Danio rerio: one gene and its partners. The protein of the gene in region 1 purifies or fractionates together with the protein of each later gene. This does not show direct contact. Links are inferred from orthologs where the notes say so. Each region holds a gene or a part of one and is shown in the gene's direction. Other genes may lie near its edges.

Evidence for each region.
Region 2: the proteins of snap23.1 (region 1) and vamp3 purify together in Homo sapiens (affinity purification with western blotting; 6 studies listed by BioGRID and IntAct, with this or other methods). This does not show direct contact. The link is inferred for Danio rerio from reciprocal best matches to the Homo sapiens genes SNAP23 and VAMP3.
Region 3: the proteins of snap23.1 (region 1) and napab purify together in Homo sapiens (affinity purification with mass spectrometry; 4 studies listed by BioGRID and IntAct, with this or other methods). This does not show direct contact. The link is inferred for Danio rerio from reciprocal best matches to the Homo sapiens genes SNAP23 and NAPA.

The regions. Positions count from the first base shown.
Region 1 is NC_133192.1:35,130,678-35,136,154, forward strand, and holds part of snap23.1 (synaptosome associated protein 23.1), read left to right. Parts: intron 1-1,466; coding exon 1,467-1,611; intron 1,612-5,414; coding exon 5,415-5,474; 3' UTR 5,475-5,477. UniProt on the Homo sapiens protein: Essential component of the high affinity receptor for the general membrane fusion machinery and an important regulator of transport vesicle docking and fusion.
Region 2 is NC_133186.1:42,677,001-42,683,535, forward strand, and holds the start of vamp3 (vesicle-associated membrane protein 3), read left to right. Parts: upstream 1-2,240; 5' UTR 2,241-2,364; coding exon 2,365-2,366; intron 2,367-6,535. UniProt on the Homo sapiens protein: SNARE involved in vesicular transport from the late endosomes to the trans-Golgi network.
Region 3 is NC_133193.1:47,630,353-47,637,105, forward strand, and holds the start of napab (N-ethylmaleimide-sensitive factor attachment protein, alpha b), read left to right. Parts: upstream 1-2,424; 5' UTR 2,425-2,489; coding exon 2,490-2,587; intron 2,588-6,753. UniProt on the Homo sapiens protein: Required for vesicular transport between the endoplasmic reticulum and the Golgi apparatus. Together with GNA12 promotes CDH5 localization to plasma membrane.

The DNA.
Region 1 (5,477 bases):
TAAACACTTGTTGTACTTGTTGGTCAGGTGGTGACTTCCTGTCTAAGCAGGCAGTTCAAGACCTATAATAAACTACAATATGTCTCTGTTTGGTGGCATTTAACTACTATTAGGACTCATTGTTTTTACCCTGCCACATCAAAATCTGCAGCTGGACTCCACATGTACAGTTTGTTAGTGCTTATTTTTGGACTGTTACAGCGGATTTTTAATTCCTCATTAATTATTAAGATGAGTCACCTTAAAGGGTTAGTTCACCCAAAAATATAAATTCTGTTATTTATTACACATCCTCATCTAATAGAAAATCAGCAGTTCAAGTGGGAATGGGAAGATCATTCCACCAACATGAAACGTTGATTAAAAATGTTTTGGAAAGTGACTTGGGTCTTTTTTGTGATGGTGCTCATTTTCTAAAAACCATTATCAAACATTCCATGTTCAACTTCAGTAGTTCAACTGTAATCATAGTATAAATTTGCAGTTGGTGTGAATCATAAGCTCTCGCGGGTCAGATAAATTGATATGGCAGAGTAGGCTGGAATTTGATATTTCATTAATTTGCATATAAAGCACAAATAAACACAACAATAGTTGACCACTGTGCTGTAGAACGAGGCAAGAAGGATATCAAATAGATAAAAATATACTTATAAATACAAAACCCTGCAGACAAAAAAAATTATAAAAGTAGAGTTAAAAGTAAGCCCGCACAGAATCTGTGTGCACAGTAATCCGCAGATTTTAAGCCCATCATCTTTTTCATCTAAGCCCACCAGTCTTTTTATTTACTTGTAATTCTGTGTAAACTTATATTAATTCAGTTTTTTTTTATTAATTTCTGTTATATGATTGACTAATATGAAAATGTTCATATGATTTATTTACTATGCAGTTTGTAAAGTCATATTTTCTGTCTTTTAGTAGATATATATTATAATAGACACTTGCTTTGTTTACCAAATAAGTGGATCTAATTGGATTCACATTGTAAAGTTTCATATATTAAGTTTTTAGTTACGATATTCCCAAAATTTTTCCTTACAAATCCTCAGATTCTTTTTTTACAAAACTCTCGACAGAAATAGCAAAAAATGTCTGCAGATTTTGTCTGGACCTAGTTAAAAGCAAGCATGCAAAGATGCAACTGTAACTTGGATTTAAAATGATTGAAGGAAGATGCAGATATCACAGATAGGGGAGGATTATTCCACATAGATGTTATACATGTGATATAGACATTTGTTTTTACAGTTGTTGATTTTTGACACACAAAAGTAGTTTGGTTCTTTTTCTGTACTTTGCACATATTGGGACTATTGCTAATTATATGGAGGATGAGAAAGCTCTCAGATTTCATCTAAAATATCTTAATTTGTGCTCCTAAGATGACCAATGTTTCCATTGTTTTGCATTAATAAAGATTTACTGTATGCTTTATTGCCATTTTTTTTCTTTCCCCGAAGAATAACAAATGATGCTCGAGAAGATGAGATGGAGGAGAATCTGGACCAGGTGGGCAGCATCATTGGCAATCTCAAAAATCTGGCTTTGGACATGGGCAATGAGATCGACAAACAAAACAAGACCATTGATCGTATCACTGATAAGGTAAAGATACACACACTTACACTGCTGAGTAGATTACAGTACATTATTAGTTACATATTGTATAATGAAAATAGTAGTTTGTAAAGGCCCGGTTGGATCACACGATTTTGGCATGATTTTTTTGACCTTGGGTGTTGTAGAGATTGGTAAACAACAAATAGACGTCAGGACAAAAGATTCCATCGTTTCTTCACCTGTAATGTGGCATAGTTCACGACAACCGATCCCATGCCTGCGACACCTCGCGACACCGTCGCAGAAAGTCTAGCATGTTTATTCTTTTGTTGTTTCTTACGATGATGTCCACCACGTGTGTGGCACGGCCCAATAAGAGCACATAATATACAAGTTATTTTTGTAGGTGCTCCTGTTAATGAGCTGGTCAGGTAATCAAAAAACAGGCTGCAAATTTACAGATGGGTCAGTCACGGGTGGATATGACCAGTCATTGGCTATGCAAACTTTAACTACTTTCTCTAAAATATGAAAGTGTTTTAAGCAATTTTATCTGACAGACTGGCACAAATATGCCCACTTCTCCATTCAGAGTTCTCTCTTCCAGGGGCACCAGCAGGATTTTATTCAAAGATACGCACATATATAGCACCACCCGGCCCCATCATCCCTTATTCTCATTTCAATCTCAAAAAACACTGATGCTTGCTGTCAAGGCTACATTTATTCATTGTCGCAAGTGAGACCGAGAAAATGAAAGCACATCACTGTATTTCAATAATTTAAATTATTAATTACAATAATTTATCATTAATAAAATAGTATAATATAAAATTAATAATTAGGCTAATTTTAATATATTTTTGTTGCTCAGTTATCTACAAAATAAACAAGAATAGCACCTGAGGTGAAGTGCTTCAAAACCGGTCCGCTATAACCTTTGCTTCAGAGCCAAAACTCAAACTGGTTTGTTAAATAAAATATAATCAAGCCTAAATAAAATTAAAGTGAAATATTCACAGTTTCAGAGAAGCCTATATTAAACTGTTTGTCACTGTAAGTGACGAAACCATCCGTTGCGCCGCTCAATTACAGTTTAATTTGTTTAATCATGTATGTTTTTTTTTTTTTTTTTTTTTTACATCTCCCACCATGCAAGTACATACACACTTTAAAACACACAATCACACCTTTAATTATTCTCATTCTTTCTTGCTTTGTCAATATATCGTAGTGTATACTGTTTAATAATAAATTCACATTATTTAATAAATAAATAAGCGGCATTAATTTGTGCCCTCTCATGGTTGAAACGCACAATGTACGGCTGCAGGCGCCACTGCTCTCAACTTTCCAACTGAGTTTGTTCTAATAAAAGCCAGTCCTGCTTATTCAAATGTGTCATTCATAATAACAGTTTAATATAGGCTTCTCTGAAACTGTGAATATTTAACTTTAATTTTATTTAAGCTAGATTATATTTTTATTTACCAAACCAACACAATCTCACGGCAACTCATGTTTTAGCGCTGAAGCATGGGCCTATAGTGAACTTGTTTTGAAGCACTTCACTTTAAAGGTTATTCGTTTTTTTTTTTTTTATCTAGTAGTTAACTGACCAACAAAAAATACATTACAATTAAGATACATTTTATAGCTAACAAAAATCCGTTTCAAAAAGATATTTTTTCCAAGAAACATTTATGAATTATATTTTAGTTTGTGCCCGTCCAACTGTGCGGTGATGATTTGATGCGCTCCGTAGAAAATAAGGATTTAATTAATTCTTCACTGCTTCACAGCTGCTGATGTTCTTTCATTTCATGTTCAGGCAAGGGAGTGTTTAATAGAAACATTGGCAGAAAAATATACAATTTCAAAGAAAATATATTCATATTAAAAAAGAAACATAAAAGTTTGATCCTATCAATGTCATAACAAATGCCTTTAAATAGTTATTAGGCCAAGTTGTCAGCCAGCATTAGTGTTTATTGAGTTTGAAGTTAATTATATTGAGATAAGAAATATTGTTACAGCAACACTCCAATACACCACTTATCTCATTTTTGATTGCGACTTGTAAAAAGCATTTACGTTCTTGTCCTTTTTTATGAGAAATTTTCCAAAGCTTTAAAGACACCTGACTCTTCATTTAATAAACACTTTATTTGCGACACACACTCTGCCAATTTTATGTTTTTAAGTCATTTAATTCAAGTCATTTTAAGTCATAAGTTTACATATAACTTGCAGAAAAAAATAGCATTTTGCATTTAGTACTGGCCTAAACAAGCTTTTGCATCAACAAATTCATAATCATTACTTTTGCCGGTGCAAGTTTTATGGATGCGCTTGAACACGGAATAGGCTATAAGCATGTATAATTTTGCATCATATCGAAGGAATCGTAAGTTTGGTCCTATCCTAACGAATGCTCTTAAATAATGTAGTTAGTTGTCTGCAAGCATCAGTGTTTATTAAAATTAAAATAAGATAAAAAATAATAAACAAATTGAAATCGAGATTAAAAAAATATATTGTTATAGCAACATTTGTGACTGCTTTGAAATGACACCCACGACAAGTCAAGATTTTATCAAGAAAAAAAATTAAAAATCGCATGATCTGACATAGTTACTTTCGTAACCGACAATAAAAATCGTATGATCTGACCGGGGCTTAAAGCAATCCATGTTTTGTTTACTTTTGGTCTTGAGACTTACTCTAATTAGATGTTCTTTTGTTAATTATTGTTTATTATTATTAATATTAGTAGCATGTATGCTGTTTTGATTGCCCAAACCTAAGCATAACTACTGCAACCAATATACTTGATGGACTTCTTTAAGTAGCAATGATTGCATTTATTAAAGGAAAACATAAATTATGATACCAGAATAATATAAATAATGGTAATATAAAGATAATTGTAATCATTCATAATACTTATATGAATAATACACATACATATTTCATGTTCGGCCTATAACGTAACAGGGCTATTAAATGTGTTATTTATTATTATATTGAAAATGTAAAGTGGAAAAATGTTTGGGGGTCCCAGTTGCTTTCTTGGATGCCTATAAGCTGAAAATGTTTGAAGAATATTAATATTATTATAGTATTTAAACTGTATTTTTAATATATAATTAACTCTACATATTTTGCTTTATATAAATGCATGTTCAGCAGTAGAATAAATTGCCATTACCAGTAACCTCTATAAAATATTAACGCCTACCTTTTATATGGTTAAATTACAGCATTCAGACCATCCGTGGCTACACAGTAATGATGTAATTGTGATTTATGGCTTAAGATTTTAGAAAACTGATAAAACCTGGCCTAACATTAGCTTTTTTGTAGGCAATATTTGAAGAATATTTGAAGAAGCTACCATACCATAGTTTATCGTCATATTCCTTTCTAGAGTTATATTGCTTTGGTACTCCCTTTATACATAAAATAATTCATAAATAATCCTAAAAATAGTTTTAGGATTTTTTTCTTCTTCTGTTGAACACAAAAAAAGATAGTTTAAAGAACGTTGGAAAAATGTAGACATTTATTTCCTTTGTAGGAACAAAAAGTGCTATGCAAGTCAATGGCTGTTTTTTTTTTTTTTTCTACAAAGTTCTTCAAAATACAGTATCTTCCTTTGTGTTCAACAGAATATATTCTTAAGTTTATGAACACCTAATTTTTTATGAAACAGATATGGAACAAGGGGAAGATGAGTAAATCGAGGCAGAATTTATACCTTTAATGCAATTGACATGATAATAATTAATACAATAATGATTAATATGAATTTACCCATAAAATATTCTACTAACTATTTTCCCCAGGCTGATATGAACAAAGCTCGCATTGATGAAGCCAACCAGCGAGCCAACAAACTTCTGTAGAGA
Region 2 (6,535 bases), on another chromosome or scaffold:
AATAGGAAGCTAAAATATTATATTTGTGCATAATCATTAGTTTAGTCAGTACTGAAGCCAAGTGTGGAGCTTATCTAACAAAATAACTTACGATAACACTCCAATAAATAGTACATTCAAATTTATAGAAAAATATTAAATACAATTTTTTAAAAAGAGGAAACATCAAAAGAAGCAAAACATTTTTAGAAATTTAGTTGAAATTTTATAGGTTGTAATTTATTTTTGCAATATTTTGCTTGAATTTAGTTGTGCTATCTTTCAATTTATAAATATGTTTGGTGACTCAAATATATTAAATTAATAAATATATCCGTTTAATGAATCTGTTTTGTTTAAATGCACCAAAATACGATGCATATATTTACTGAGAAATGGATAAAAATATTAATTTTCAAAATGGGGTGTACTCAATGTTCAACAATGTTGCAGTATATATATATATATATATATATATATATATATATATATATATATATATATATATATATATATATATATATATATATATATATATATATATATATATAATTCCCTTTCTTAAATATTTCCCAAATTATGTTTAAAAGAGCAAGGAAATTTTCACAGTATGTCTGATAATATTTTTTCTTCCGGAGAAAATCTCATTTGCATTTTAAGGACAAAATTATTATTAATTATTTTTTCTCTCTCGATAGACTACAGAACAAACCATCGTTATACAATAACTTGCCAAATTACCCTAACCTAGTTACCATTAACCTAGTTAAGCCTTTAAATGTCTCTTTAAGCTGTATAGAAGTGTCTTGAAAAAAATCTAGTCAAATAATATATACTGTCATGTCAAATCATAACAAAGATAAAATAAATCAGTTATTAGTAAAGAGTTATTAAAACTATTATGATTAGAAATTTGTTGAAAAAATCTTCTCAACAGAAATTGGGGGAAAAATAAACGGGGTCTAATAATTCAGAGGGGCTAATAATTCTGACTTACATATATAATGAATTCTGATATATATATATATATATATATATATATATATATATATATATATATATATATATATGTACATATATATATTCACATATATATATATATGTGTGTGTGTGTGTGTGTGTGTGCGTGCGTGCGTGCGTGCGTGCGTGCGTGCGTGCGTGCGTGCGTGGTGCGTGCGTGCGTGTGTGTGTGTACATACTTTATATAGGCTAATTTCTTATAATTAAAAATATATATATTTATACCAAATAGTGTAGATGACACTACACCTTACTTATCAGCAAAACAATAATTTAATTTATATTTGTATAAAATGATTAGGTATATATAAATATTCGATGGTATGTGTTTGATTAAAGGTTTAATATTTGGTTTATTCTACAAAAGGTTTGTGATTAGCATGTTTAAATTTTCAAATAAAAATATTAAAATTTAGACCAATGGTGTCTTAATTTTTTCCATAGCTGTTAAATGTAGTTTAATTATCTGTGTTTGTGTGTGCGTGTGTGTTTGTTTGAGAGAGAAAATTTTGAAATTGAATACACCTTCATTTAATAAAAAATTAAACTACAACATGTTTCATTGATTTAAACAAATTTCTAAATCACACAATATTTTCATCAAAAACCATACATTATTTTCAGCCCAACACAACATTTTTTACACTCCACATGTCTTCAAACTTGTTCAACTCTTTCATTGACAAATAAAAATTAAAATCATGTCTAATTCTTGCTCTAATAAGCCTTTTAAAAATAAGTTCAACTTTATAAATGGTCTCACACAAAATCTTGTTCCTCCTATACTAATGTATATTGCCATTTTTGCTAGTCTTAATATAAGAATAGAGAGAAAAAGAGAGAGAAATAGAGATCTTATTATCATCATTAGATTATTAGATCATTATTTTTTATTATCATCTTTATTATTATTATTATTATTATTATTATTATTATTATTATTATTATTTTACTACTACTACTACTGTTTACTGTGTTTAGTGTGTTTTTAAACTATTTATTATGTATGTTCTTTTAATGTAAACTTTAGTGCTTTGACAATACATTTGTAGGCGGTTCATTCCACTGTGGCGACCCCTGATTAATGAAGTACAAAGCCGAAAAGAAAATGAATGAATATATTTGTAACATGTCATGCCAATAAAGCAGTTTTTGAATTGAACTGAATTGAGAGAGTTTTACAATGACTGTATATTTTTATTATAACCTATGAAATTACTTATATGATGGGGAAAACTTTCACTGTGTGTGTGCGTGAGCTATATTCTACGTGCACGCGCGCGCTGACGCTCACTCGCTTACACAGTAATAACAGTTGTATCATCATCAGCGGGCCTTCACAAATCACACATCAACTCAACAACCATGTAAGTAAAATTAAAATTGCACTAGCTCAGCGATGTGATATGAACATGTGATGATATATGTTTTGCTTTTGTTTTTTTTTTAATACCTAAATATTGATGTGCTGGGAAAGTTTGTGTTGTGTTCTAATGGGTGTGAATACGGCCAAAGCAACAGGTTAGCTTTTAGCTTAGCTTTAGCTTCAGTTTGTTGACAATTTGTTTACTTTAATTTACTTTCGGTCTTGTTTTCGGTTGCTTTTATTTGGGATAGTTGATTATGACACCGTAAGTGAAGTTTAATGTCCGTTTGAGTGTTTAAAAGAGATTTGTGTTTATGTTCGCATTAGCGCTAACTTACATGCTAACTGCTTACAGTTTGTTTTGACTGATAAAAGTTTGTGGAAACTTTAGACATTAAGCATACACAAACCACAGACATATCACCATTATAATAACATATTTGTTTTGTTTTAAGTGTACAATTATTTTAATTTTGAGTGAGTTAAAAGGATGTAGTTTGTATTTGGCAAAGCTGCGGCAAATTAATCAACAAACAAGTTATAACTTACAAGCTTCACAAATGATTGTTCTTCAATCAGTTTTGTTAATCCAGTGGTGGGCAAACTTTTTAGACCAGAGGGCCACTTCACGTTTTGCAAACCAAGTAAAGGGCCACATGCCAAATCCTTCAAAACATATCTTTTATTTATAGTGGCAGTATGCTTAGAACATGTAATATCGGACAGAAACATGTCAGATTAACACAAAACAGATTTTTAAAATAATTATTATCGAGTCAAATTGACAAGTAAAATGAATTTGCTCTGCTATTTATATTTATCAATTATCATAAAACAATAAAATAATCTCTAATAGAATGTAATACTGATAATGATGTAATAATTTTGCAGCGAAGAATAGAAAAGATATTGTCTGATAGACAAAATCCCATATTAACACATTAAAAATAATTCTTAAAGTTTGCTATTTAGTCAAATTTACAATAATCTAATTTGCACTTCTTTTAGAAAATACAGATCAATCATCTTAAAACTTGATAAAACCACAAATCTTTGACAAAAGAACTTTTTAAAGTGGATGTATGGATGGAAAATATACTCTGTGTAAAAAAATTAACACATTTAACCAGCAACCATTATATATTTTGAGTCAAATTCACAACAATCTCATTTGAGCTTGTATTAATATGCTCATATCAATCATTATAAAACTATGAGATAAAACGGAAGAAGAATCTTAGGCCCCGTTTACACTAGTGCGTTTTAGTTTGAAAACGCATAAGTTTTGCTACGGTTACGCCATCCGTCCACACTACGCCGGAGTTCTCGAGCGCCGAAAACAGAGCTTTTTGAAAATGCTGGAGAGGCCGTTTTCATTCTAAAATGCTGCTGCTCCGTCTCAGTGTGGATGGGGAAAGACGGAGACATCTGAAAACGGAGGCGGGGCTGGAAACGTTTGCCTATCTGATTGGGGCTTTTCCTCAATATTAAGTAGCCCACACACAGTTCAGTCTCGCATCCTCTTCTTGTAAGTTCAGACTTCGCAAGTTTGATCAAGGCTGCAGTCTCCCCTTTCTCAGTTTGATATGGAAAACATACCGAGGACACGCGTAAATCTTCAAAGGGAACAGTGTACTTTATAACTTCATTCACATCACCTTGGCTACGTTGTTTCACTTTCTCAACAATAAAATATAAACATGATTTAAGGAACTGCCTATTTTCTTTTTAATATTAGCAACTTAACAGACAGCAGAAATGTTGAGGCGTTGTGTTGCATATATGAGCGTCATCTTCACTGTGTGGATATTTATAACAAAACGGAGCCTTATAACAACTGCCTCCTTTCAATTTCAGTGAAAATACGAAACGCACCCTCTCTTTTGCTGAATATCAGTTTTAATAATCGATAATTATAAAAGTATAACATACAATAAGTTTATACATTGTAGGAAATAAAGGCAAGCGATCAGTCAATGTACCTGGATTAATCATTAACTTATCTTTGCGCTTAACCAAAACATGTTACCCGTGAACAAGTAAGTTAATAGATTCCAATGACCAAAGTCAGGGAATTGGCCTATGTCGTTAGATAAAGACAACAACATGAATGAAATATCACGTTTAGCAAATATAGTGAGATTAGATCCAGCGGGAGATGCTTGATGAGCAGTCCGACAAGCAGAGCTCTCATCTGGGTAGAAATGCTGGAGCGCTTGCCCAAGTGTGTCTGTGTGGTCACGTGATGTGCGTTTTCAGCGTTTTGGTGTGGACGGAGAGCAGTTCAGAAACGCTGGGTAAAACGCTAGTGTGGATGCGGATCGTTTTCATTCTACAACGCCGTTTTAAAACTAAAACGCACTAGTGTAAACGGGGCCTTAGTCTTTGTTATTCCAAGTCATGTCATTATGAGTGTTAACGTGAACAATGAGCCTGAAAATAACGTTACATTAATATTAACTGCAACACTCTCGCAAAATACCCAGCTGATCCAGTCTTTGACTAGCAACATAAAAAAAGCGCAGTGTGCTCCTTTTTTCTTGTCAACAAAAAGGCAGTGCAGAGCATCCTTGTGTTTTTGGAATGTAAATGCGCGTTCAGTGTGATCGGCCTCTTAGGTTGTAGCCCTTAAAAACAGCAATATTTTTTTTGGCATATTAGACCTACAGCTTTCTGTCCCGTATTGGTGAAGAAGTATTTTGTTGTCCATTCTTTCATAAACACACGACATTCAAAGTAAAAATTTTTCCCTGACTCCTTTTCAGTCATAAAAGGTCGAGTGCATTGTAATATCCGAGAGTGTGTTCTAATTCTAGTTGCACTAACTGTACTGCATGCAATACTGCCATCAAATGGTATTCACTTGTATTGCATCATTAATTTACTAATTCTGAAATTAAACCGTTACTCAGAAGCAGCATTTTAAAAACTCCCTGGCGGGCGCATGAAAGTGTTCAGCGAGCTGCATATGGCCCGCGGGCCGTAGTTTGTCCACCTCTGTGTTTATCAATTGCTCAGTGCATTTTTTAAAATATACTATAAACAATAACTTTATTCACATATTAAAATTTAAGAGATAGTTCACCCTAGAAGAACATTTTATAAACTATTTACTATTTGGTTTCAAAGTTTTGCTTTTCTGTTTTCTGGTCATCACAAAGTAAGACGCATTTGATAATGTTGGAATCTTGAATCTGTTGGTATCTACTATCTATGGTTACCAGTTTACAGCATTTTTCAAAATATCTTAATGTATCGTGTTCAACTGAAGAAACCAACTCAAGACAGGTTTGGAGAGTGGGTTAATGATTTTCTTCATTCACATTGAGGCATAGGCCGGTATAAGATTCTGATGTATGATAACCTTAGATAAAAATATCACAGGTATTGTGATTACTGCTCTAACATATGTTCTTTTTAAATGTCTAGGTAAAAAACTAAAACTTTTTTTCTGCTTTGATCACAGTGTGTTCTTGAGAAGCTTTTTAAATATGTTGGGACAGTAAACATGTTAGGCTAAATAATTTAAATGAATCATTGACTTCTGCTTTCTGCTGTCACAGACTTCTGCTGTCACAGACTTCTGCTGTCACAGATTTCATTACAATTTAAAATGGGGTTTAAATTTTAATTCTTTGGATATCATTTTCTGCTTGAGATACTGTTATATAAAATACTTTAAACAAAACATAAAAAAGAAACTCTTATATACCATAGGAATGGTATAGCAGAAAATGTTGGCGGTTTTAAAAGCTTGACTTTTCTTGCCTATTCACATGTTTGTCTTATATGGCCCATTTCCACTGACTATAACAGTACTGTATGGTACGGTAACCGTTGGTACGGGTCACCTTTATCAGGCTTGCTTTCCACTGCCTAAAAGGTACTAAAGGTACTATATAGGGAATAGGAGTTTTTTTAAATATTGTTGAAAATATTCTTGGAGTCGATTAGTATATTTTGAAAATCTCATATCATTGCCATCAGTTGAAATTCTGTCCTGTGTTTAACCAAGTTGCAGTAATCTGCATTTGTGTTGACTTAAAAAAGATGAACTGATGGATAATAACTCCTCAAATGAGGCTGAAAGCATCTTAATTTAGTATCTGAAAGAATTTTCTGACATTACTGTCTGTCTGATGAAAGAGATACTGAAATGCTGCACTCTCA
Region 3 (6,753 bases), on another chromosome or scaffold:
TAAAAAAAAAAAAAAAAAAAAACTTTTATTTTGGATGTGATTAATTTGCCCAGCACTTTTTAAGTGAATTACTATGTTTATTATAAGCTTCGACTAGCTATGTACCAATAAGTGCATATTCATCCACTCTCTTTTTTATCTAGAGCAAAATTTACCACATTTTCTACTTAATATATGGTTCCATATTTTATTTCTCACCCAAATAAATCCCACTGGCTTATATTTTATATGCAGTGCCTACAAAAAAAAATCACCAAACCCTTAGTTTATTTGTCAAACAGCCTGAAATTAAATCATATTTCCAAATATCTTTTTTAGCCTTTGAATTATTTTTGTAGCCTTATAGCTCCCCAGATAGCAAAGAATTCTAGCCCAGATTTGGCATAAAGCTGGCACATCGCATAAAGCATATGGGCCAAACATGGCCTGGGTTTGGCAGAGGTGGCAAGATTTGGTTCAGTCATGTACCGTAATTCACTACAGCATGTGGGCCAAGCAAAACCTGATTGTGTGGGCCAGAGCTGGGCTGGCCCACCTGTTCAGTTTTAACCTTTAGTTATAACTAGGCCCACACGGAATCTGCACTCGCAGAATTCCGCAGATTTTTAGCCCATCATTAATTCTGTTTATTTACTTGAGTAAATGTGTGTAAATCTATATTAATTCAGTTTTTAATTACAGTAATATTATTGACTAATGTGAAAATGTTCATCTGTTTTATTTACAATGCAGTTTGTAAAGTGATATTTTCTGTCTTTTACTAGATATATTTTATGAGAGACTTGGTTTGTTTAACAAATAAAGTGAATCTAAATGGATTTGCATTTAAAACATTAAATAAAGGTTAAAAAGATTTAATTTTTTATTTCACATATTAAGGTTTTAGTTATGATACTCCAAAATAATTCCGCAGAAATCCGCAGATTTTTACCAAAATTCTCCACAGAAATAGCAAAAAATTTATGCAGAATCCGTCTGGCCCTAGTTATAATTCAGTCCAGATTTTTGTGATTTTTTATTTTTAAAGTCTATTAAATGTTAATATTTTTATATTGTTATTTTAAGATGATCTGTTACTGGCCTGAAGCAACTTGGTTTACTTGATCATCCACTCAGAATTTTTTAGAAAATAGCTAAAATGTAGGTTTACAAAAATACTTTTGATGGATGCTATTTGTTCACCTCCAGTTAAAACTAAAGAACATTGATTAGTGAATATGTCAATAATCTGAAAGACAATTTAAAGCGAGATATAACTGTATCTAAAATATATAACTGGCATTGATATGTATTTTATGATATATATCCTAATTTCACAATAATAAAACTAATGTAAAATTTTCAAACTAATCATGCATTTGCCATTGCCATTTATAACCTTTTTCTGACATTATATTATTTTTTGGCAACTAAGTAGAGTTAAGAAATTAATATTTTCAATACTATAATCATGGAATAATACTAAATTATCTCTCACAGTCCAAAGACATGTGCTATAGGTGAATCGAATTAGCTAAACTGGCCGTATGTGTGTGCATGAGTGTGTATTGATGTTTCTCATTGGTGGGTTGCAGCTGAAAGAGTATCAGCTGTGTAAAACATATGTTTGATAAGTTGGCGGTTCATTCCATGGGTAGCACAATCGCCTCAGAGCAAGAAGGTCGCTGGTTTGAGCCCCGGCTGGGTCAGTTGGCATTTCTGTGTGGAGTTTGCATGTTCTCCCCCTGTTTGCGTGAGTATCCTCCGGGTGCTCAGTTTCCCCCACAGTCCAAAGACATGCGCTATAGGTGAATTGGTAGGCTAAATTTAAATTGTCCATAATGTATGTGTGTGAATGAGTGTGTGTGTGGACGTTTCCAGTGGTGGGTTGCAGCTGGAAGGGCATCCGCTGCGTAAAATATATGCTGGATAAGTTGGTGGTTCATTCCACTGTGGCAGATTAATGAAGGGACTAAGCAGAAAAGAAAATGAATGAATGATAATAATAATAATAATAATAATAATAATAATAATAATAATAATAATAATAATAATAATAATGTGATGTAAACATTATTAATTATGGAGTACTGATGCCATTGTAATTTATAACTTTTTCAGACATTATATCACTTTTTAGACAACTCAGTAGCAATGATTTAACCTAAAAAGAGTTAAAAAAATCTATATTTTCAATATTGTAATCATGGAGTAATCCTAAATCAGATCAAATGAAATTATTCTGGCCAATTGTCTGGCCAATTTTTAAAAGTAAATTATAAAATTTACGATAATATTTTAAAGAATTGTTTAAAAAAATTTATTATAATAAATATTAACAATGAACTCGATCGAACACCAAATAAATAATTGCTTTTGAATGAATAATGAAATTGAGCTTTTATTTTGAATTTAAGCGGCAGGCGGACATGTTGGAGGTTTCCGCAGAGATGTGTTGATGTGGCTGGATTCCAGAGTTTGCTGCTAAAGTTGAACTGTAAACAATATTCATGGATAACACCGGTAAGGAGAAAGAAGCCACGGCTCTCATGGCAGAAGCCGAGAAAAAAGTCAAATCCTCGCAGTCGTTCTTTGGCTCCCTGTTTGGGTAGGTTTTTATCACTTTTATAACTGAGTTCTGACAGGCCAGCCGGGGGTAAACAGACAGCTAGCATGCTAGTGAGTTAGCTGTCAAAAACGAACTTAATAAAAGTTATTTTCAGAGTGGAAAAACTCCAAAGAACGTTTTGTTTCGCCATTTAAGATTATTAGTTAGTGAATTGTGAACCCATACAGTATGTTAAAGCTGTAAAGCTACTTTAATCTCTTTTTCCCCGCTGAGAAGTCGTAATATAACATAACGTTAAATGGCGCAAAGTTTGACTGTTAGAAACGTAATATATTGTCAGCATTATCTTGTATATATCTAAATCTGAATCTACAAATACATATAGAGCGAATTGTCATTTCTTGTCTTGTGACCTGACATAATGTTTCCATAAAACTGATTATGAAATAGGCGGCGAGACTGAAATGTGACTGAATGCTTTGCTAGTTGTCAGCTGACTTTCACTTCAACAAGTTACAACATCACTGGACTTATTTAAACAGCACATTAACCTGAGAAAACACAAACTAATAACAGCAGGGAACATATAATTAGCAATACATTAATGCAAAAAAAAAACACACTAAATTATTACTTATCATACATGATATATATGGATATGAGCAATTACGTGCAAATGTCAACCTTGCCATGAGAAAAATTAGGTTTTTACCAAAATACGAGAACCGTTTCTGGGTTTTTGTGTAAGTAAGTATTTTACAGTATTTTAGAAATACAGAAAAATGCATCTGTTGATGTTTTCAAACTATTCTATTTACCAAAGTCACACAAGTGGCAATTTCACATCTGTCACATTCATAACGGAGAGATGTCACATTCATAACGACACTTTTTTCTCATAAATGTAAAAATATTAAATTAAATAAAACCAATCATTTTTGTTTTATAGAGAGCCAACTTATAGCAGTTTGATTAGCATTGCTTCTTTTGGGTTGTGCAGTTTAATTCTCAAAAGTTCTACAAAGTATGTTGTGTACTGTACATTTACATTTACATTTAGTCATTTAGCAGACGCTTTTATCCAAAGCGACTTACAAATGAGAACAAGGAAGCAATTTACACAACTAAGAGCAACAATGAATAAGTGCTATAGGCAAGTTTCAGGTCTGTAAAGTCTAAGAAGGAAAGTATTAGTAGTATTAGTATTTGTTTTTTTTGGGTACAGTTAGTGTGATATTCAGAGAGGCTATTGCAGATTAGGAAGTGTAAACCCGCAGACTTTTTTTTTTGTCACATCCACAACGCATGTTTATTCTCATTTAAAGTACAAAACATGTTTACAGAGCGATATTTTTCTGATCCCTTAACTCTGTGGTCTGTTGTTCTGGAAAATATAAACGAAAGTTTCAATATAATGTTAACGTATACTTTCTCTTCGATTTTATTACGTGAAATAGATAACAGTTTCTGTAGGTTTAAGACCTTTTTAAATACACATAAGGAATCTTGAATAGAACGTAATACTCCAATATGCTCTCTAAATGTAAATATGATGCATTACTGATGCTTTAAAGTTTTAGTTTAATATTCAGATCTCTAAACTACCCCTATAGTAGAAAACTGCCCTGATTAAATGGCACCTTAGATGGATGTAAGATAAGACTGTGGTGTCTCCAAAATGTGTCTGTAAAATTTCAGTTCGAATACCCATCAGATTATTTATTATATAATGTAGAACAGGGGTGGGCAGTCTTGGTCCTGGAGGGCTGGTGTCCTGTATAGTTGAGCTCCAACACTAGTCAAACATCTATAAGCAGAAAAAAATCTATAAGCAGGTGTGTTTGATTAGAGTTGGATCTTAACTGTGCAGGACCCTGGCCTTCCAGGACCAAATTTGCCAACCCCCGATGTAGAATCTATCCATTTTAGTGTCTGAGGATTATGTACAGTTGCTATCAGAATTAATTAATCCCCTTTGAATCTTTTTTCTTTTTTAAATATTTGCCAAATGATGTTTAACAGAGCAAGGAAATTTTCACAGCATTTCTTATAATATTTTTTCTTCTGGAGAAAGTCTTATTTGTTTTATTTTGGCTAAAATAAAAGCAGTTTTTAATTTTTAAAAACCATTTGAAGGTCAAAATTATTAGCCCCTTTAACCTATATTTTTTCGATCGTCTACAGAACAAACCATCATTATACAATAACTTGCCTAATTACCCTAACCTGCCTAGTTATCCTAATTAACCTAGTTAAACCTTTAAATGTCACTTTAAGCTGTATAGAAATGTCTTGAAAAATATCTAGTCAAATATTATTTACTGTCATCATGACAAAGAGAAAATAAATCAGTTTTTAGAAATGAGTTATTAAAACTATTATGTTTAGAAATGTGTTGAAAAAATCTGCTCTCCGTTAAACAGACAAGATGTATCAGAAAAAAATAAACAGTGGGGCTAAAAATTCTGGGGGTTTAATAATTCTGATTGCAATTGTAGCTTCCTTAAGTGCAAATGTACTGCTTCTCCCCGCCCACCACTCTGACATTGCGTATCAGCTTCTCCTGCGTCAGATAAATACGTCAGATAAACAGCAGTCAGTGATAGAGAGAGACAGGGATAAGGCTGAAATAAGGTCACGAGTGAAAAATACCAAGTAAGTTTATTTGATGTATTTGTGGTGGAGTTTATTCAAGCTTTTGATGAAATGATGAGTCTCACACAAATGTTGTTTGCAGTACACACACAAATATGTGCGTTTACTGACACTATGCGCCTGTGGTGATTATAGCAGTTAAGAATTACATGTTTTACTCCTTTTACTCTTTTCCGATTTTACTATTTATTACAAACGTGCTCTGCTTTAAAAACGTTTTAAACTTATAAAATTAATTATTCATGTGCAGTTAATCACAGAGACTTGTAATATGTTTTAATCACAGTTTCTTTGCAAAAAGATGTTCTGTGGACACTAGGCATGTAACGGTATTGTAAATACCGTCATACCGCAATATTAATTTTTTTCGATATTACCGAAGTCGCATGACTCGGTAAAACTATAGGTCTTCTGAGAAAATTTGCTCAGGCGAATGAAGCGAACGGGAGGTAACGAAAACTACAATTGCCATCAGCCCATGCTTGACCATCATCCCTTGCGGTCTGTTGTTGCTACAGATCCAGTAATGCGGAAATGGAGTGTGCTGCTAGAAGCGGGGATGAAAAGAGCTGGAAAACTCTAAAGCAGGTCGCACACCAGAAGCGCCGCTCGGCGCCGCGACACGGCGCGTACATGACAGATTAAAGTAATATCGCACACCAGACGCGCACATTCGAATGATATTTAACATGAAACTAATCAGATGACGCTCTGTGGCGCGGCTGAAAAATGAACTGCGTCCTGAGCCGTCGCCGGGCGCCGCCGACAGCCGCCGGTGTGTGTATCCTGATAGAAACCTATGATTAGAATTCTAAAATACATGGCGCTGCGTGGCGCTGCGCGGCGCGCCGCCGAGCGTCGCTTCTGGTGTGCGACCTGCTTTACACGCACAGTTCAGTCCTGCATTATCTCCGTGTAAGTTCAGACTTCGCAAGTTTGATCAAGGCTGCAGTCTCTTCTTCTCAGTTTGATATGGAAAAGCAGATTATACCGAGGACACGGGTAAATCTTCAAAGGGAACCATGTACTTTATAACTTCATTCACATCACCCTGGCTTCGTTGTTTCACTTTCTCAACAATAAAATGTAAACATGATTTAAGGAACTGCCTATTTTCATTTTAATATTAGCAACTTAGACAGCAGAAATGTTGAGGCGTCGTGCTGCATAAGATGAGCGTCATCTTCACTGTGTGGATATTTATAACAAAACGGAGCCGATAACAACTGCCTCCTTTCAATTTCAGTGAAAATACGAAACACACCCTCTCTTTTGCTGAATATCAGTTTTAAGAATCGATAATGGCCATTTTAAAAGTATAACATACAATAAGTTTATACATTATAGGAAATAAAGGCAAGCGATCAGTCAATATACAGAATGTACGTGGTTACATTAATCATTAACTTATCTTTGCGCTCAGCCAAAACACGTTACCTGAGAACAAGTAATAAATTCCAATGCCCAAAGTCAGGGAATATGTCGTTAGATAAAGACAACAAGATAAATGAAATATCCCGTTTAATAAATATAGTGAGATTAGATCCAGC